Linked DNA regions of Bombyx mori. The protein of the gene in region 1 binds, or shares a complex with, the protein of each later gene. Links are inferred from orthologs where the notes say so. Each region holds a gene or a part of one and is shown in the gene's direction. Other genes may lie near its edges.

Region 1 (4,396 bases):
TTGATACAAAATAGAACTCTTAAATATTATTGAAATTAGTAACTACCTATATCTAATGTAGTCTCGTTAAATATGTCTTAACTAATACAGGACATAAAGCGCTTATTATTTATTACCTTTTTAAATAATAACCTTAGTTGCTTCGAAGCGCAGACGAGGTATTGACGAAATATTCTATGATATTTCTATGGGTGCGCTAATTTCAACCTTAATCATCTGAAAATAGAGAGTACAAGAATCTCATAATTGTAACACTGTTGCTTACCCAGTATATAATATTGCAGGCATAGCGGAAGGAACGTTACAGGATGACACGATGGTGATGGGTCGCGCCACCACGTCGTTACGTAAGAATTTACTTTTTTTTAAATTAGTCTCTATTGCATAACAGTTTACGGTTCATATTATTATAAAGCTAAAAAAACAAGGATTTTCTCAATTCGGCCGTATTTATATTTGTGTTGCCCCACAGCTTTTGAGTGAATCGTTTTGGATTATTCTTTTTCTATGTGAAAGCTGCCGCTTCTCATGTGGTCCTATTTAAATTTTATCTAGATCTGAGCAGTCGTTTTTGAGTTATCTTTGATAGACCATATTAAATTGATTTCTACATTAATTACACTGTAGATGATGATATTCTTTTTTACTTTGTTCAATTCAGTTTTTTTCTTTGTATTATTCGTCTAATATTGTCTGAAAATAGTGGTTCAATTTGAATACAGCGATAGGGTAGATAAGGCTATTTATTATTAGCACATTCACAAGTATCCATCCACATCGGTACTACGATTTATTATTTAATTGTTAATTTAATGTGGCACTTTTATTTTAAATAATTATCTGCGTATTATGTTTCAAATGCGAAAACATAAAAAACAAAAAGTTCTTAATAGATAAAGAAATTTAAAAAAAAACTAATGTCGAACACTATCGGAAGGATCAGCAAAAATATTAATAGTTAAGTACTGGGCGGTCTTTACGCCTTAACGTAAACATAGCAACATCGCGCTTCAGTGTCGATCATTAATTGCGAATAATTGTAAATAAATAATTACCTTAAACAAAATACCTTTCAGCACAACCGATAGCGCGCAGTACGCACGTGGTCGTCAACGAAACCGTCGAGGAAGAAGACGAAATCGATGAGACGTCTCCAACTGAAATCTTCTGTAAGATACCAGAAGGTGCGTACTGTTACCGGCTTCTTTTTTTTTAAGAAATTTTATGACCTGGTAACTAAGACCTTTAAGTCATATCTTATTTTAATTTATATTATTATTTTTATGAAAAATGATGAAATGAAATGAAGATGATTAATTTGAGATATTAATCAACTGGGATGAAATCAAATGAAATGAGATGAGATGATATGGGATGAAATATAATCTCGGTAAAATGGTGGCAATTTACTGATATTTTTTCAGTGGACTTTTTGGAGGATCCCGAGAAGTTACGTCCAGCGGCTTTGTTTAATTTTCCCACTTTTGTGCACTTTCACAGATATTAAACAGTAAACCACCGTCATTACACATTTAAACCTGAAGAAACACTAAATAGACAAAATAAAACAAATCACACAATTTCACTCCTCGCGTTCCCGCCAAAAAGTCCTATCTGGGCTTCAGTACCGTAGATATGCAGACCCTATCGTATTCCTGCTGCATCAGCTTTATCATATCTTTATCTACACCATACCTCATTGCCATTCCCGCTCCACTCAATCAGTTCGTCTCCATCCTTCGTCGCGTTCGCGCCTATCACTGTATCCATACAATACTAAATCTTTTATATTTCATTATTATTGAATAAGTTTTAATTAAATCCAGTGTAAATTTTTTTTTTTTTTTTTTACAAAGTGATTTATAGAATCCCGTATAACGTACGATGCTTTGTAATAAAAAAATTTACATTTATTAGATTTATATCGTATTTTTTAATAGTATATATTCACGATAGTGATTTTCTATAGTTCCCTTTGAATTAAAAAGCAAACTCTATGTTTGACGATTTACGAATAACCACTTTAATTTATGAATGGATCTTGTCGCGTATTATGTAGTCCCGCCTTAACTCGACTAAATTATAGTTATTATTTAAATATATTCGTCGATGTATAGCATACCATACTCTATACCTAAATTGTTTACAGAAAAATCACAAACCGAAGAGAGTAATACAAAGTCTAGTAGACAGTCTACCGAATCAGAATCTGTTCCAATACGAGATACCAAAGATATATTGTCGGATTCTAGCAGCGGAGTATCTCCGGTGAAGAAAGCTAAAATATCAAAAGGTGTTTATTTATAATTAATATTCTTATTTCGTTAATTAAATATCTAGTATAAAGTAATAGTACTTCTGAAAATTATATGCTGATTAATTATTTTGAACTGCCATTATGAAGCATATGGCCCATTTTATAGTAAATACAAAATGTCTAATATTGGTGTTGCCTTCTTTTATTCCAATTGCCTATTGGTCAATAAATCTCTCAAGCGCCTTATAAAACAGTAAAATTATCTGTATATTTAAGAATGTTTTCAGACCGACATAAAAAAAATGTTTACAATGATTATACATTTATACATATATGTATTTGCCTTTTGTAACATTTTCGTAAAGTATAAATCAAATTAAATGCAAATAAACGTTTTACAGTACCAAAAAAGAAGATGCCGGCGAAGAAATCGTCTACCATTGAAACGGCCAATAAAGCGAAAGTCACAGAAACCACTAAAAAGTCGAAACAGAAAACTGAAGAAACTGAAAAGGGTGTCAAACGAAGTCGATCGCAGCGATCCCTGGTGGACGTCGATAGAGGTGAGATACCGTTACCGAAATATGCTTGTGTTTTATCCATTCACGCATCTGATTATGTTGCAAACACTACTGTTTGGCGGTCTCGCTAGTGAAATAGTTAGCGCGCCTGACCGAGGATTGATTTTATAAGTATCCTGATTGATTTATTACGCATTATTACGCATCCTCCCGATCCATTAACGGTGCTTATAGGTACCTCAAGCACCGGTCACCGTCCTAGGCGAACCCGTCGCTTGCGACGAAGGGCTCGAAGACTAATTTAGCCCATAGACACAGCCCGCAGAGTTCCTCGCCGGATCTTCTCAGTGGGTCGCTTTTCCTATCCGGTGGTAGATTCTGCGAAGCACTGTTGTTGCTAGAGCCAGTGTTAGCAACACTCCCGGTTTGAGCCCCGTGAGCTCACCTACACACGTTAGGGCGAAGGTGAAATAGCCTCTCAAGGAGAAAAAAGAAAAACAATGGTATCGGGAATCCTAGTTTGAAGCCAGATAAATAGCCTGTAAATTGCCGTCAACTTTTTATTTATTAGTATTTAGTAGTTTAAATTAAACAATCACATTAACCGAAAAATTTTCAGTTTCATCCAAAGCTCAAAAAAACAAAGAGTCTAAAACAAAGATGGCCTCTCCGCCGCCGAGCGTGCCCGCTGAGCTGGACGTGTCGAACGTGACTGTGCGGCGCTCCGCCCGCGCCGCGCACTCCTCCTCCAGCCGCGAGTCGACCGTATCGAATGGGACTCAACGAAAAAATAAAAAAGGTACAATTCAATAAATAAATCGACTGTCCCCCTGCATTATCGATGACCATGAGCGACAGTAACCACTCACCATCAGGTAGTGTACTCACCGTATGACCGTCTGCAAACAAGGCAACAACAAAAATTGAGAGGTGTCAAAGGACACGGGAATGAAGTTCCTTTCGATTAATTAGTGAAGGAATTGTAATATTATTATTTTTTAAGTTATAATAATATTATGTTTTTTATTATTAACAAATATAATGTAATATAAACTTAATCTATATTACTATCAAAAAATTTAAGCATTTATTATCTGTATAAACTCTAATGAACTAACTAATGAACAATATTTTTTTTTAATTAATATGTCACTTCATAATTTAAAAAAAACTTTAAATATTTTCCAGGAGAAGTCAGAACAGGAACACGTTCGTCGGGGCGCAGTAGTACGGCGAGCAGCTCGCGTGACTCTCTCCAAGACTCGTTCGACGATACCACACTCCACACTATTGTTTACGACAAGGAAATGGTCAGAAGACTTTTTAATACGCTTTTATTAGCTTCAGACGTATGTATGTAACGGAATCTTTGAACGTGATTTTGACCCCCTTCAAAACGTCGGATTAACTCGAAATTTGGTATACTTATTAAGGACCGATGACATTTCAATATTTAAAAAAAATTAAAAAAAATTCAAATTCAACTAAAAAATGAAAAATAAATAATACTTTGAAAAAACTAACAAAATACGCTTTTATAGAAAGTTTATAGAAAATAGACTTTTTTTTTCTTACACTATTTTTAAAACAAATTTATTAAAATTTATTATCAATTTTT
Region 2 (5,797 bases), on another chromosome or scaffold:
TTTTGAACTACGTAATGAATTTAGGAATAATTACATTCCCGATCCTGCGGACAGAATGGAAAGCAGTCGACGTCGCCCAAAACACGTCATCTCGGATCCTCCCGATCCACTAACGGTGCTTTTACGTACTTCAAGCACCGGTCACCGTTCTCGTCGAACCCGTCGCTTGCGACGAAGGGCTCGACGAGTAAATTAACTCTCAGACAGAGCCCACTGAGTTTCTCGCCGGATCTTCTCAGTGGGTCGCGTTTCCGATCCGGTGGTAGATTCTGCGAAGCACGGCCCTTGCTAGGGTTCGTGTTAGCAACGTCATCAGGTTTGAGCCCCGTGAGCTCACCTACTAAAGTTAGGGTTACGCTGAAATAGCCCCTAGGGCTATCAGCTTAAGTAGGAAAAAAAAAAGGAATAATTGGCCGTATTTTTCAAGGTGTGTGGCGCATTTACATTGTAGATGTCTATGGGCTCCAGTAACCATTTAACACCAGGTGGGCTGTGAGCTCGTCCACACATCTAAGCAATAAAAAAAAAAAAATCCCCGATATTTTTTGTTGAAGTTTTGAATATTTTTTTGGTCTGCATAAGGAATAATTAGACAGTATAAACGCACTTGTTAACAAAACGCTAGAAAATACGCCCATTGCCAACTGACTGACAAAACCGGCGCATGCGCAATGTAGGCGTGAGGTGATGGTTTGCTTATTAGATATAAAATAATTAATAATTAGGAATTCAATTGTTTTTAAGATCGAACAATCACCAATATTCGTTGAACTAACGATAATTGATTAAAATTAATTGATCTGAGCGATAAAAATAAAGATATCTTCTAGTAAGGGGAGCCAACTTAAGGGTAATCATTTGTTTACTCAATTATAAATAAATAAAAGACGAACTAACAATTTTTACATTCAAACATTAACGAACAAACGACGAACAAATCATTAAAAATAAAAATAAAACCGAAAATCAAAAAAAGGAGGCCAATTTCAGTGAGCCTATTTTATTGTCTACTTTTTTTTTTCTACCTAAGCTGATAGCCTTGAGAGGCTATTCCAGCGTAACCTTAACTAGAAGGTGAGCTCATGGGGCACAAACCTGACGACGTTGCTTACACGAACCCTAGCAAGAGCCATGCTTCGCAGAATCTACCACCGGATCGGAAACGCAACCCACTGAGAAGATCCGGCGAGAAACTCAGTGGGCTGCATTGTCTACTTTTTTTTTTTTTTTTTCCTACCTAAGCTGATAGCCCTAGCGGCTATGTCAGCGTAACCCTAACTTTAGTAGGTGAGCTCACGGGGCTCAAACCTGACGATGTTGCTAACACGAACCCTAGCAAGAGCCGTGCTTCGCAGAATCTACCACCGGATCGGAAACGCGACCCACTGAGAAGATCCGGCGAGAAACTCAGTGGGCTGTGTCTGAGAGTTAATTTACTCGTCGAGCCCTTCGTCGCAAGCTACGGGTTCGACGAGAACGGTGACCGGTGCTTGAAGTACCTAAAAGCACCGTTAGTGGATCAGGAGGATCCGAGATGACGTGTTTTGGGCGACGTCGACTGCTTTCCATTCTGTCCGCAGGATCGGGAATGTAGTTACCGGCGGCCACGATCAGAGGGTTCTCGTGTCGTGCCGCTTTATCGAAGTGGCATAGTTGTCTACATTTAGTTCGATTGTTTATATAGGTTTTTTGCATAGATTAATAACTAGTACACACGAGTATTTGATACATAGATGATGATACTTAATATTTGAGATTGAAGCCTAAGTGTATAATCTATGATAATAGAATCTATGATTGTCGTTGTAACTTGTACAATATTTAAAATTATAGCTTGCAAGAAAACATTTAAAAAAGCACAAAATGATGGAAAGTTATACCGTGGTCTGGTGAATCTAAATAAAATTTAGATTGCAATAAAACTTTTAGTGAAGATACATATCTTTTTTGTCTTCACAAAAATAAATAAGATGGGGAAAACGAAAATGATAGATGAACCAATGGATGTCGACGAGGGTCCGTCTACTAGTTCTGCAATTCAGAAAGCGAATGTTGAGGAAACTGAAGACTTCGATCACATTTCTGATGATGAGGAAGGTGGAATACGCATTGGGGATATCTATATACCTCCAGCTCCAAAACCAGCATTAACTTTTGATACAACGGGCCCTCGGCTCATCATTACTCATATCGTTAATGAAAATTTCAAGAGTTACGCTGGCGTACAAGCTTTGGGTCCATTTCATAAGGTAAAAATACCCAATATCTATACGAATTTTTAGTAGGTAATTTAACTTTAGATTAATTTTTTTTTATTATATTTCAAAAACAATTTTTCATTACATATAGGTATATTTATTATATATTTTATTATATTAGATATTTTTCATTAGATATTAGATTCAATATCCTATTAGATTAAGTTTTGTTAATGTATTTGCATGTATTGTTAAGAATCAAATAATAGATTGTTACGAACATGCTTCATTTTATTCTCACCTTTAAATGCATTTATAAATCGTCTAGTGCTCTCCAATCTAAGTGATTCCAAATATAAAATTATTTTATGCTTGGAATGCTTGAATTTTGTGGTTTATTGGTCCATGGCCATACTATAAAAATAGTTTTAATTACACTTATGGATTACCTTCTGCTGCTTATTATATAAATGATATTTTCACATGTAGCAACTGTTCAAAAGCATTCTAAATTTCTGTATGCTACCTAGTAAGGATGCATTAGTAAGCATTGCCTACACAATGTGTTGAATAGATCTTTGCAATAGTAGTTTATTAGTATCTAGGTATCTACTGACTTGCCTATTTTTATTACTTTTACACAGCATTTCCTTGATTTCCAAATTTGAGTACTGGTGTGAACAGAATTGTAAGACGAGCTCTTTATCTTTCTCAACAATTAATTACATGCTTATACAATACTCTTTACTTCTATTTGCATTATTTTGCCTTAAATATATACAATGGAAACCTACATTGAGCTTATGTGTATATAAACCTTGCAGATCTAATAAGTATTAACATTTTATTACAGTGTTTTACATCAATCATTGGTCCGAATGGTAGTGGAAAAAGCAATGTGATTGACTCAATGCTGTTTGTATTTGGATATAGAGCATCAAAAATACGTTCTAAGAAGATTTCAGTATTGATACATTCATCCAGTAAATTTCCTAATATTAGTAGTGCAAATGTCTCTGTACATTTCTGTCAGATTATTGATGGGGTATGTATTATGTACACACCAAACTTGGCGTGAGCTGAAGTTACAAAATATAAATAATAATAGAAATCTTAAAGTTCTGGTATAACTAAAAATGAATGAATTTATACATTAAAAAAAACTAGCCACTGAACTATATAATATAAATGAAAATGGTGAGCTCTGAAACATGAGAGAGTTACTTTTTTGTATCCAATGAAATACTTCTCATTCTTTTGACCACTATTATAGAAAAAGAATCAGCCACTCAAGGATGTTGACTTCTAACTGTGAATCTCAGTGTGCCAAGTTATTGTGCCTGATATTCTGTAATCCTATCATTGAATATATATAACTATGTTTAAAAACTCACAACCAGTAATGGCACCTACTACATGTATTGTTGTACCGTATTTAAGTGTATCTACTGAATGCATAAGTGGATTTTTTTGCGCTGTATAATACAAACATTAGGAACAAAATACTTATTCACAAAAAAATCACAAGAACTGGCAACTGGCTTTCTAACTAAAATATCAAACACTCTTTTACAGGAAGGAGATGACTTTAAAGTTGTACCAAACAGTGAGATTGTGGTCTCACGGACAGCTTTCAAAGATAACTCGTCTTATTATATGTTGAACGGACGCAGAGTACAATTCAAAGAAGTTGCCAAGATGCTGCGTTCCCACAACATTGATTTGGATCACAATAGATTCTTGATATTGCAAGCAAGTACATTTTTTAAGTAGTATAATAAGTGTTATTTGCCTGTGTTTAGTATATGGTCCCACGAATCGATCTTGTATATTAGTTAAAGAGTAACCGTACCATAATTTCAATACAAAAGGGCATCATGTCAATCTTATTTGAATCCAACTTTATATGTGGTCAAAAGACACTAAATGCAAATCATAGATTATGTACTATTAAAAAAACCATCTAAATTATTGATATTGTGTTTGAGTGGTAATCTTAATCAACAGATCCCATTCAATTGCTTGTTAGATTGTTTTGTTATTGAGATTATGTTGACTTTTGAGATACAAAATCATTGCCTCAATTTCTCCACTGATCAGGGTATACAGGTATATGCCCTCTTACAACTTGAAATCTTTATCAGCATTTTTATAGAAAAATTTTAATGGTTCAACATTAATAATAATATAATAATATTGTTTTTATTGCAAGTAACCATGACTCATATAAATTTTTAATAAGACTTAGACCTATGTTAGTAGTTATATTTACATCATAATGAATTACTGTCGTAACATCCCATGGGAGATGGCACCACAGCGACCCATGTATACACAGTCCAGCCTGCTTGCGATCATGCTCAGGATACTGTTGGAGCTGGCCCTCACTCTGCTTACCAGAGATGCACACCTCTTACGCATGGTAGCGTAAAAACAATCTATGTGCGCGTCTGCAAACATCCCTGATGCGCTACAAAAGCGGGGCAGCACCACCAGCACCCTAAACGCGTTATTATATTGAACACGGAGAGCGTTGTACGATCTTTGAGTATATCCAGCCCACAAGCTGCACATTAAGACATCTTTAATAACTAAATAGAACTTCATAAGGATGCTTTCAAATACATTCCTAACTAGACTTTTACTTTCAGGGTGAAGTCGAACAGATAGCTATGATGAAACCTAAAGCACTAACAGAGCATGAGTCAGGAATGCTGGAGTACTTGGAAGATATCATAGGCACTTCAAGATATAAGGTATCATCTTATTAGTAGAGTATTCGAAAGCTAAATCTCTTGTTAAATTAATAATTATCATCAATATTATTGAATCTAAATTCAGTTTCTTGTTGGTCCAGAGCGTAGGCACTATTACTATTAATCAATAAACATGTTTAAAGAAGCATGTCAGTATGTAAAATGTAGTACTCAGGAAACAACATAAAAGGTCACTCCAGGGTTGAATAATGAATCAATTTGGTGAGTTATTACAAGGTAGGATAGAAATGATGTGATCATCTCTATTAATTTCTCAGAACACCACTCTTGGATATAAAACAAGAGTGAACAAAAATGTTTCTAGACCCAGAATATTGGTTCTACATACTTTCATATTAGTGGTTTTAATACTTTTGGTACCAATTATTATATATAATAATCTATTGAAGTGTCTTGTACACTTGTAAATACGTGAAGGGAACAATTTACTGGTGGTAGGACCTCTTGTGAGTCCACACGGGTAGGTACTACCGCCCTGCCAATTTCTACCATGAAGCAGTAATGCGTTTCGGTTTGAAGGGTGTCGCAGCCGCTGTAACTATACTGAGACCTTAGAACTTATATCTCAAGGTGGGTGGTGCATTTGTAGATGGGCTCCAGTAACCACTTAACATCAGGTGGGCTGTGAGCTGGTCAACCCATAAAAACAATAAAAAAAATTTTTTTTTTAATCTTGTTTTACAGGAACCAATAGAAAAATTGTCTATAAAAGTTGAAGAGTATACAGAAATACGTAAAGAGAAATTGAATAGAGTACGTCTGGTCGAACAAGAGAAGTTGAAATTAGAACAGCCAATGAGAGAAGCCGTAGAACTGATGAAT
Region 3 (4,455 bases), on another chromosome or scaffold:
TTCCGTTACGCGCCATCTTTTTTGTATTCATGTCTATGATAATAAAATCCTCTTGTTTAAACTTTATCTAATTTAACTTTTTTGTATTCATGTCTATGATAATAAAATCCTTTTGTTTAAACTTTATCTAATTTAACTTTATTTAACCAATTTCTAGAAAGTTGCATGTAGATCATTTTTCGAAAAATAAGGCCATAAAGAAGTTTCACTTCTTACGTGTGTACACTAGTACACGCACACATTTTTTTTATTATATGTTCCTTCTTGTCTTTACCCCTTAGATGTGGTCCCCACAACATGTTTACTCTTCTGTCGAAATCAGAAGTTAGTAATTTCGTAGGACCAATTACAAAAATTTGTATGGAGTTGGAACGTTTCCCTACGTTTGGCGCTAAGGGCGCTGCATACAACTTTGAGTTAACTTTTACGCTATCGAGGACATTAAAAAACTCGCACTAAGCACACAGGTCAGCAGCACCTAAGATAGTTTCGAGTTCTATTTAATCCATTCTTTGCGCAGAGGTCTGGACGAATCGCACTTCTGCAAATTATTTTTACTGCGTAAAGTGACGATGTCGCGGAAACGTGACAACGAACACAGCAAGCCCGAGGAGCCCGTCACGGTCGAGGAGGTGCGCGACTACGATTACAATAATGAAAATGATGCCTCATATTGTCCCAACATACCGCCGGTGAGTACATTCACAATTCTACAATCCTATATTCTCCCAGTCAGTGATGTTAGAAACTCGCAGTTGATGCTGTTTTTCTCAACTAATTACAATAATAATCAACTGGTTGAGGTCGTGCGATACTCATATTAAACAATTTGACCGATAAATCTAATGACATCTATTATTGATATTTTATTGTATGTATAAAATTTGTATTCGTTAAGATTGTTAGTTGTACTTGTTAATATTGTTTACCTAATCTAATCAGTTTTAAAAATAATCAAACATACTACCGTATTCTGTCGTTAAAAAAGTAATATTTGAAAAGCTAATTTTTACTGGTGGTAGGACCTCTTGTGAGTCCGCACGGGTAGGTACCACCGCCCCGCCTATTTCTGCCGTGGAGCAATAATGCGTTTCGGTTTGAAGGGTGGGGCAGCCGTTGTAACTATACTGAGATCTTAGAACTTATATCTCAAGGTGTGTGGCGCATTTACGCTGTAGATGTCTATGGGCTCCAGTAACCACTTAACACCAGGTGGGCTGGGAGCTCGTCCACACATCTATAGAGCAATAAAAAAAAAAGCAATATCACAAACATAACTTAAGTTGTTGTTTTTGGTAGGATGCTGACGAGTGGGGCAACGAGGACGCCACGGCCGCCGGCGACCTGCACGAACAAGTCAAAGCCGTAGAACTCGAAGACATCGGGGACATGCTCGAACCACCAACAAAAGTAAGTTCGATCGTCACATTATTGATCCCGATTGATCTACGACAGTGTACAGGTTTCATTCCCAGTTGGATATGAGTTAGAAGTCTTGTATGTGTTAAGAATATTTGTAACAAAAAAAAATAGTTTCGTCTTGATGTCGTTTTAGATTTACTCATACCCAAGGATAAATATATATAATTATTCTATTCTTCTCTTGTGTGCTTCGTGCGAGTTTTTTAATGTTCTCGATAGCGTGAAAGTTATCTCAAATTTGTATGGAGTTGGAACGTTTGCCGCTAGGGGCGCTGTTCCAACTGCACTAACAACAATACACTAACACAGAATTACAACGAAACATATAATGTTCCGCATCCGTATTCCAACAGGTGGCCAAAATATTCATACCATACGCGATGCGGGCGAAAAAGGTCGACATGAAACAATTGAAAAACTGTACCTGGAAGATGCTCACTGAAAAAACTCCAGAAGGTTCCAAAGACGAGGTCACGGAAACGTCATTCTTTTCGATTTATTCCAGACTTCCGAGCAAACTGACGCCGAATATGAGAGAATCATTAAGTGTACCATTAGCTTTACTCTCAATTTTGCATTTAGCAAACGAAAAAGGATTGATTTTAGAGAAACAAGAAGACCTTAAGGACTTTGGCATAATAGGTTTGATAAAATAATAAAACAACTTGAGGTGAGGTTCTAAAATACATATAAATTTAAGCATATTCCTCACTACCTCCACTGAAAGCATGGCTTGTAGCGAAACTTGTGTTTTGAATACTCTAGTGTTTAGTATCTCAAATATGACCATAAAATATTAGTTAGTCACAAATTTTGATTGTTATTTACATTAATTTTTTAGTGAATTTATTGAAAGAAAAGAAATACCTAAAAGCCATTATTACCTGAACTACAAAACGAATTGTCTTTGACAACATCCATACATAATTCAATAAATTTGATGCGTCATCTGAGAGCTTACCTTATGTCAAAGTTGTGTATTGAAAGTAAAAAAAAATGTTATTGTAATAAATGTCAGTTTCTTGCAGCAACACTATTCCAGTTAATTACATTAGTTTCTAGGGTCGCATTTCCTTACTATCCTACAGATGATTAAATAATGTGCTATTATCAACGTTTCACAATTAGAAATGCAATGGATGTATGTACCGTAATTAAATATTGAATCTTGTAAATAAAGTTTTGACATGTGTCAAAATATATGAAAAAGTTTGTGAAAACATTGTATAGATGTTTTTAGAATAGACTTTATTTTTATATTTAAGTATTGAATAATATTTAGATATGTATGCAAGTACCAAGCTCGTTTTTTATTTTATATTCCCTGGCTTTTATTATTTACTATCAAAAGAGCAGTGAGGTAATCTATACATCAACAGCAAAAAAGGTAGATGGATAAGAAACATCCTTAATTTTTTTTATTGCCCGTGTAGCCAGACAGCCACATGGCCCACCTGATGGTGAGTGGTTACCGTCGCCCATGGACTTCAGCAACGCCAAGGGTAGAGCCAAGGCGCTGCTTACTGTTAAGTACGCTCCACAAGCCTCGTTTGAAGAATGTCATAGCGCTCGGGAAACATCGTGGAGGGGAGCTCATTCCAAAGTCGGATGGTACGTGGCAAAATCTCTGGAAACGCACTGTGTATGAACGCAGTGGCTCCAGGTAGTATGGATGAACTCTACTCCGGTAGCGGGCGGTGCGATGGTAAAAACGAATTGATGGGACCATTTCAACCAATTCCTCAGACCACTCCATGAAACATATGGTACAAAATACAGCGAGAACCGAAGTCCCTCTGCAGAATCAGAGGTTTCAAACGATCCGTGAGATCGGGATTATCGACAATCCGAACAGCCCTCTTCTCTATAGAGTCAAATAGAAGTAGCTGGTATTTGGAAGATCCGGCCCAGAGGTGGGAGCAGTACTTCACGCGAGGCCAGACTTTTGCTTTATAAAGCAAAAGCCTTTCTCTAGGCGCGAAGTACCGTTTCGCTCTGTTCAGGACGCCTAGCATTTTGTACGCCAGCTTGGCTTTGCCGTCCAAATAACTTCGAAATTGGACATCGCTCAAAATGTCGACCCCAAGTATCCCAATACAAGTAAAAGGTTGCAGGGATACTCCTTCGTCTAGCCTAGTAGTATTATTTACTTTTTAGATTTAAATGGCGACTGTGCAAGACATTCGCGCATCGAAACAACGAAAATAAAATTAATCGGATGTGGCACTGTTACAAGCCATACATGTAATTTGATTTTTTTATTGCATGCATGGACGGGTGAATGAACTCACGGCCCACCGGGTGTTACACGATTACCGGAGCCCATAGACATCACTACGTGAGACATGAGGTCTAAATCTCAATTGTATACTAAAACGGCTGTCCCACTCTACAAACTGGAATCCATTACTGCTTCACATCAGGAATAGAATGGCTGGTGGTACATAACTGCCTCGCAAGACGCACCACGACCAGTAATTACAACAATTTGTTTTTTTATTGTTTAGGTTGATGGACGAGCTCACGACTGGTGGTAGGACTTCTTGTGAGTTCGCACGGGTAGGTACCACCGCCCTGCCTATTTCTGCCGTGAAGCAGTAATGGGTTTCGGTTCGAAGGGTGAGGTAGCCGTTGTAACTATACTGAGACCTTAGAACTTATATCTCGAGGTGGGTGGCGCGTTTACGTTGTAGATGTCTATGGGCTCCAGAAACCACCTAACACTTAACACACTTAGCATTAAAATAATATTAGGGCTGCATCATAATTTGGAAGAGAAGGTCAAGGAAAAGATGAAATCAATAGATTTTAACACATTTATTCAACTGTACACTGATTCACAGTAAGAGCTTTCATGGAAAATCACAAGCACAGTTACCGACAGATCACCTAACATTACAATTTGACTGTGCCACGGCTTCGCAGTGGCAAAATGCTATAAACATAATTACATAAGATAATACGGTTTCGCGTCTACGGGACCACGCATGGTAACAAAGTCACAGCAAGCCACCCCGTGTAACAAAGTAAACA
Region 4 (5,995 bases), on another chromosome or scaffold:
ACCAGCGCACAAACAGACAGCAGAAAATATTATTACACGACTCGGAAACAGCCATACAGACCGGGTCGTGTACAGTCATGAACTTATTAAGTCGGAGCACGTGGTCGAACTCGACTGTGGACGACGGGGGTGCCATACCACCGAACATCCTCCGGTGTGATAGCTCCCTGCCGGAGATCTGCTTCACACAGTATGCAGTCAGGCGGGAGCTCCGACTCCTGGACGTCTATAAGTCGAGTGGGCCAGACTGCATCCTCGCAGTGGTTCTGAAAACGTGCGCCCCTGAGTTGACACCTGCGCTAACGCATTTGTATCGCCTCTCTTATTGTATCCGTCTTCATGGAAGACCCCTTCACGTCCACCCTATCCCCAAGAAGGGCGACTGGTCGGAGCCATCGAGCTATAGGCCTACCGCGATAAGTTCCTTACTTTCCAAGGTGATGGAGCGAATAAAAAATGCACAACTCCTGAAGTATATGATTTTCATCCTGTATATCAATGTCAATGACATGATGTCTATTGATGATATGCATTGCTATGCGGATGACAGTAAGGGGGATGCGCGATATATCGGCCATCAGAGTCTCTCACGGAGCGTGGTGCAAGAGAGACGATCAAAACTTGTGTCTGAAGTGGAGAACTCTCCGAAGCTAATCTCCGAATGGGGCGAATTGAACTTCGCTCAATTCAATCCATTGAAGACATAAGTTTGCGCGTTAACTACGAAGAAGGACCCCTTTGTTATGGCGCCAAATCCAAGGAGTATCCCTGCAACCTTCCGAGAATACCTGGATACTTGGGGTCTGTCCAATTTTGGAGTCATTTGGAAGGCAAAGCCAAGTTGGCGTCCAAGATGCTGGAAGTCCTCAACAGAGCAAAGCAGTACTTCACGCCTGGACAAAGCCTTTTCATCTCTGGGCTAGGGTTACCAAATACGAGCTACTTCGATTTCACTCTATATAGAAAAGGGCCGCTCGGATTGTCGATAATCCCGGATCTCACGGATCATTTGGAACCTCTGGGTCTGCGGAAGGACTTCGCTTTTCTCTGTATTTTGTACCGTATGTTCCATGGGGAGTGCTATGAGGAATTCTTTGAGATGATTCCATCATCTCACTTTTACCATCGCACCGCCTGCCATCGGAGAAGAGTTCATCCTCGCTGGGTATCTTATTCTGTTTGAGATATAGAAGCACTATTTCTTGATATCGATGCTATATGATAACAGCTTTATTAAAGACACTATTGACTACATTCTAGCTCACGCTCGTGCAAAAATCAGCCACTGTCATTTACATCGACAAGTCCTAGTAGATCCATCCGCCCTGCTTTCGATTTGTTGGACATTAGTTCTAATGCTATACGATTACGCTATAATGATACTAGTTCATCGGGCGTTTTATTCTTTGGGCTACAACTTATAAAAGGGTGAGATTTAATGTCTGAGTTTGTAGACTTTTTGGAAGTTGTCAAGTCCACGTCCACGGCCGAAGCCACGGCCTATGATTTTTTTTGCGCTTATGAACTTTCACTACATGGTTAAAATACTTCATTTTCTGTACTTACTACAATTTATTTTAGTTCGAATCAGAATCTATTACATTTGAATCTGAGATGTTATCTATCTTCTTCTTCTATATATATAAAAATGAATTGCTGTTCGTTAGTCTCGCTAAAACTCGAGAACGGCTGCACCGATTTGGCTAATTTTGGTCTTGAATTATTTGTGGAAGTCCAATGAAGGTTTAAAAGGATAGATAAATATGAAAATGCTCGGAATTAAATAAAAATAACAATTTTGTTTTTCCTTTGATGTCCCCCCCGCCGCGCGCCGGACGGATTCCTTTTGTTTGTTTTAAATTTATTTTCTTCAAAGGTTTAAGTCTTTTATTTATTGATAGAGGCACTACGAAGTCTTCCGGGTCAGCTAGTATGCAATAAAGAAAAGAAAAAGAATCGGTACACTTATAATTTTTTACCTCTTTACCATATTGTTAATCTAAATCGAATTAAAATCTTTAAAAAAAATGTTGTCGAGAAAAATATAATGTGTCAATGTCATTAATCAATGAATGTCAAAAATATTTTAAAAACACAAATCAATTTTGATTTCATAAAAAAATCAACGGCTTCTCTAACGCTTGATGAATTCGTATGAGTTTAAATTTTTAATGAATTTTCTTGTTCTATAACTGTTGTTTTTATGATCTGAACATGTTTATTAAGTCAATAGTGTTAGATGGCTTCAAGTCTTACGGAAACCGAGTGGAAATTACTGGATTTGATCCAGAATTTAATGCGATCACTGGTCTAAATGGGACTGGAAAATCAAATATCTTAGATTCTATATGTTTCGTACTTGGAATCACAAATTTATCGAATGTATGTTGTAGTTTATTATTGCTAACAAAATAACAACTGTTGCTGATTTATTTCCCGCCAAATACCATTCACTGTTAAGGGTTATGGCGATATAGTAGCAGCGTTTATTCATGATAATATTCAATTACCTATCAAATATGCGACATAAATCCTATGGGCATCAGAATACATGATGACTTGAAAATAAAAACATACACTTTTCAAGTTCTAGTACAACAATAATATCGATTGATGCGAAGTAAACTCGACAATGATGTTTTCTGCTTCTTTCTGGGTACAATTATAAATAATATGAATATTCCAACAATAAAACATAGTTGCTTCTTGGTCAAAATGCTTGTTTAACAAAATTTGTGCCTAAATTATTAATTAATTTATTATAAAAAAATAGGTACGAGCAAGCAGCTTGCAGGAGCTTATTTACAAGCATGGGCAGGCAGGTATCACCAAAGCAACAGTTAGCATTACCTTCGACAACAGAGATAAGAGACAATGTCCGATTGGCTATGAGAATCATGATGAGATTACTGTCACTAGACAGGTAAGACATAGTTATATTGGAATAGTAATTAGTAATCAACAAAACATCTAGAAATTGAATAACCATTTGCTAAGTTTCCAGGTTCATGAAGCTTCCATTAAATTACTTTATTAAAAAGTTCCAAGAATACAATAGTTCCAAGAATATATACATGATTAATAAATCAATATTCAAATGTTTGAGATGACATGATTTAATACATCATTTACAAATCATTCGATCAAGTAGCTTGACTTTTACTATTAGCAAACCAAGCTAAATTTCATAAGCTTTGCTGAACAAAACAAGAAATAACGTATAGCATTCAAAAGTTATATTTCCTCATCCAAATTTGCTTAATCAAACTAATATAAAGAACATGCTATTTAACAATTATTGAAACAATTTGAAAAATAAATTTCAGGTGGTGATGGGTGGTAAGAATAAATACCTTATAAATGGTATCAATGTCCAAAACAAGAGGGTCAGTGACTTATTCTGTTCGGTTCAGCTTAATGTCAATAACCCACACTTCCTCATCATGCAGGGAAGGATTACTAAGGTGCTAAATATGAAACCTCCTGAGGTAAGCCATACATCAGCTTCAGCAGTTAAATTACTTGTATGACCTTAGTAAATAGTGTTACGAACTGAAGTTCTGGATAAAATAATTATTTCTTACTAGCTGACCAGGCAGACTTCGCAGTGCCAAGACCTAAACTTTTGTATAAAATAAACTTAAAACAAACACAAGGAATCCGTCCGACGGGGGATACATCAAAGGAAAAACAAAATTGTTATTCTTATTGAATTCCGAGAATTTTCATATTTATCTACCTTTTAAAGCTTCTCTGGACTTCCACAAATAATTCAAAACCAAAATTAGCCAAATCGGTCCAGCCGTTCTCGAGTTTTAGTGAGACTAACAACCAGCAATTCATTTTTATATATATAGATAATCAAAAACATATATAGATTATGAATCAAAATCATCAAGTCTAATTACAAAATACTTTGATTAGTACTTTGATAAGTATAGTGACTGATTTCACTATTATGATGCATTAGATTGCATTCAAATCTTGTCTTGGATATGACTTCACTTTAAGTCGTATGATTTTTCTCACTCCTCTGAATGAAATTTAATCTTTCTAAAAGCGTGTGCACTGTAATTTCTAGTAAGGTCTTAATTGCTTTGTGATTTTTTTCTTTCTCTGTACTGTGTGGCATTAGTTGTATTGTATGTTTGAGCTATTTGTGATGATTAAAATATAGGTAGAGACATACAGCCTTAGTAATAAATGTGGTGTAATATCCTTATGCTTCCCAATTCGTGCCATCGTAGGACAGAAAATATTTGACAAATTTTGAAATCACACTAATGGCATTTTCAAAAGAAGCTTTGCATGTGTTAAGCCAGTTACAAACAATATTTGGACTTTTGGTGTATGGAACAAAATTATCTGCTTGGTGGAAGATGTTTCTTATATTGTTTTCCCTCAAACACTTACTAGCCACAATATCAGTAAACTTGAGATCTTGTCTTCTGATATGGAAGATTTCCATTTAACCTTGCTCTGTGGCTGCTGCCCAGCCATTGTTGGCCCTAAGATAAAAAAAAAGCTGTGAGCACAAGAGTTTTATATCCACAAGACAATGTTGATGCTACCACTCTCCCTGAGAACTGAAGTTGAGCTGGCAGTACAACATCCCATGAGCTCGTATAGGTATGTATCACCACTCTGCCTATTTTTGCCTTGAAGCAGTAATGTGTTTCGTTTTTCAAGGGTGGGGCAGTAATTGCACACTGAGGCTTGGATGCCTTTTCCCACGGTGGGTGGCGGGGCTCCCGTATCCACTTAAAGTCAGATGGGCTGTGAGCTCAATGACCTATCTAAGTAATAAAAAAAGGCAAAAAACCTGTGCTGTAATTGTGTTTGACATCCTTGTGAATAAATGAAATGTAACTAATTTAGCTGATCTAATGATTACAAATTTCTTCTAATAATTATAAAATACAATAAACAATAAAAAGGCCATAAGAACATGAACATGGTAAATTGGCACTAGAGACATTCATGTTTAGCATTGGCATCCAATAACCACATTGCACTGAAGGCTAAAATATATACAGCTACAATACCACTTTTTTGTTAGATATTATCAATGGTAGAGGAAGCGGCAGGTACAAGAATGTATGAAGCTAAAAAACAAGCAGCACAGAAAACTATTGAGAAGAAAGATGCAAAGCTCCGGGAACTTAATGATGTAAGTCAATTGTACAATTTTACTGTCACTGCACACTGTACAAATGTCGATTCGTTTTAAAGCATAATATGACACAAATAAAACTATTTTATCACTTCATCAAATTAGTAGATTTCTAGGACTACTTAGGTGGACTTTCAGAACTGCCAATACTTTTTTGAATAAAATAATGATTTTGTAGAAGGGATCACAATTAATCAGATGTAAATTTTTTTGAACTGAACTAAAACTTCTCAGAAAATACATTAAAAGAACTGTTGTGGCAAAATTGTTTCTGTTCAAAATAGATAATAAGAGAAGACATAGCACCTAAACTTCAGAAGCTGCAAGATGAAAGATCTCAGTTCCAAGAATATCAGAAGGTTGTCAGAGAATTGGAGAATATCACCAGGCTGTGTGTCGCTTGGAAGTGAGTATGGTCATTGCCTAAGTTCCTAGTCGCCACAGGACTGCGCGGCCGCCCGTGTGCCTCCCTGTTCAGTGTAACACAAAAATGTCAGTATGTTGAGTACTTCTTAGTATGTTGAGTACTTCTTTCTTTCTGTTTTAAATACATTAAGAAAAGAAAACAATTTTATTGAACATCTCTCTCTACAGTATACATGCACAAGTGTCCATAGTATGTTTATTACCTTCCCCTTCTAAACCACTTATTTACATGATAGAACAAGGCAATATTTTAGCACATCATAGTCACGAAAGTTAAAACGATATCTCCGTTACAGGTATGTTTCTGCTGAAGAGCAAACCAAAGCAGCAGAGGGAAAAGTCACGCAAGTGCAGGACGACATTAAATTGAAAAAAGAGACTATTAAAAACAATGAG

Evidence for each region.
Region 2: condensin complex subunit 3 (region 1) and structural maintenance of chromosomes protein 4 share a complex: the UniProt entries of both Homo sapiens proteins name them as parts of the condensin complex. The link is inferred for Bombyx mori from reciprocal best matches to the Homo sapiens genes NCAPG and SMC4.
Region 3: the proteins of condensin complex subunit 3 (region 1) and condensin complex subunit 2 are in contact, whole or in part, in a crystal structure (PDB 6IGX), measured with the Homo sapiens proteins. The link is inferred for Bombyx mori from reciprocal best matches to the Homo sapiens genes NCAPG and NCAPH. Residues at the interface, in NP_071741.2 of Homo sapiens: Lys11, Phe14, Arg15, Gln18, His50, Tyr51, Lys53, Tyr54, Val55, Met56, Val57, Glu62, Ala64, Val65, Val68, Phe102, Ser106, Glu108, Ala109, Asn110, Ser111, Val114, Arg115, Ile149, Arg150, Lys152, Asp153, Lys154, Arg159, Glu188; in NP_056156.2 of Homo sapiens: Glu471, Ile472, Asp473, Phe474, Glu475, Asp476, Asp477, Ile478, Phe480, Val482, Tyr483, Phe484, Arg485, Lys486, Thr487, Ala489, Ala490, Thr491, Ile492, Leu493, Gln501, Asn502, Trp503, Ala505, Thr506, Thr507, Leu508, Phe512, Tyr514, Val516.
Region 4: condensin complex subunit 3 (region 1) and structural maintenance of chromosomes protein 2 share a complex: the UniProt entries of both Homo sapiens proteins name them as parts of the condensin complex. The link is inferred for Bombyx mori from reciprocal best matches to the Homo sapiens genes NCAPG and SMC2.

Annotation. Positions count from the first base shown.
Region 1 is NC_085122.1:6,203,860-6,208,255, reverse strand, and holds part of condensin complex subunit 3, read left to right. Parts: intron 1-284; coding exon 285-347; intron 348-1,076; coding exon 1,077-1,184; intron 1,185-2,149; coding exon 2,150-2,293; intron 2,294-2,658; coding exon 2,659-2,820; intron 2,821-3,397; coding exon 3,398-3,577; intron 3,578-3,966; coding exon 3,967-4,088; intron 4,089-4,396. UniProt on the Homo sapiens protein: Regulatory subunit of the condensin complex, a complex required for conversion of interphase chromatin into mitotic-like condense chromosomes.
Region 2 is NC_085134.1:4,010,878-4,016,674, forward strand, and holds the start of structural maintenance of chromosomes protein 4, read left to right. Parts: upstream 1-1,754; 5' UTR 1,755-1,970; coding exon 1,971-2,249; intron 2,250-3,051; coding exon 3,052-3,243; intron 3,244-3,773; coding exon 3,774-3,950; intron 3,951-4,849; coding exon 4,850-4,954; intron 4,955-5,659; coding exon 5,660-5,797. UniProt on the Homo sapiens protein: Central component of the condensin complex, a complex required for conversion of interphase chromatin into mitotic-like condense chromosomes.
Region 3 is NC_085117.1:9,010,840-9,015,294, reverse strand, and holds the end of condensin complex subunit 2, read left to right. Parts: intron 1-520; coding exon 521-692; intron 693-1,299; coding exon 1,300-1,410; intron 1,411-1,775; coding exon 1,776-2,078; 3' UTR 2,079-2,723; downstream 2,724-4,455. UniProt on the Homo sapiens protein: Regulatory subunit of the condensin complex, a complex required for conversion of interphase chromatin into mitotic-like condense chromosomes.
Region 4 is NC_085131.1:14,293,853-14,299,847, reverse strand, and holds the start of structural maintenance of chromosomes protein 2, read left to right. Parts: upstream 1-2,072; 5' UTR 2,073-2,214; coding exon 2,215-2,382; intron 2,383-2,773; coding exon 2,774-2,923; intron 2,924-3,326; coding exon 3,327-3,488; intron 3,489-5,059; coding exon 5,060-5,170; intron 5,171-5,457; coding exon 5,458-5,579; intron 5,580-5,895; coding exon 5,896-5,995. UniProt on the Homo sapiens protein: Central component of the condensin complex, a complex required for conversion of interphase chromatin into mitotic-like condense chromosomes.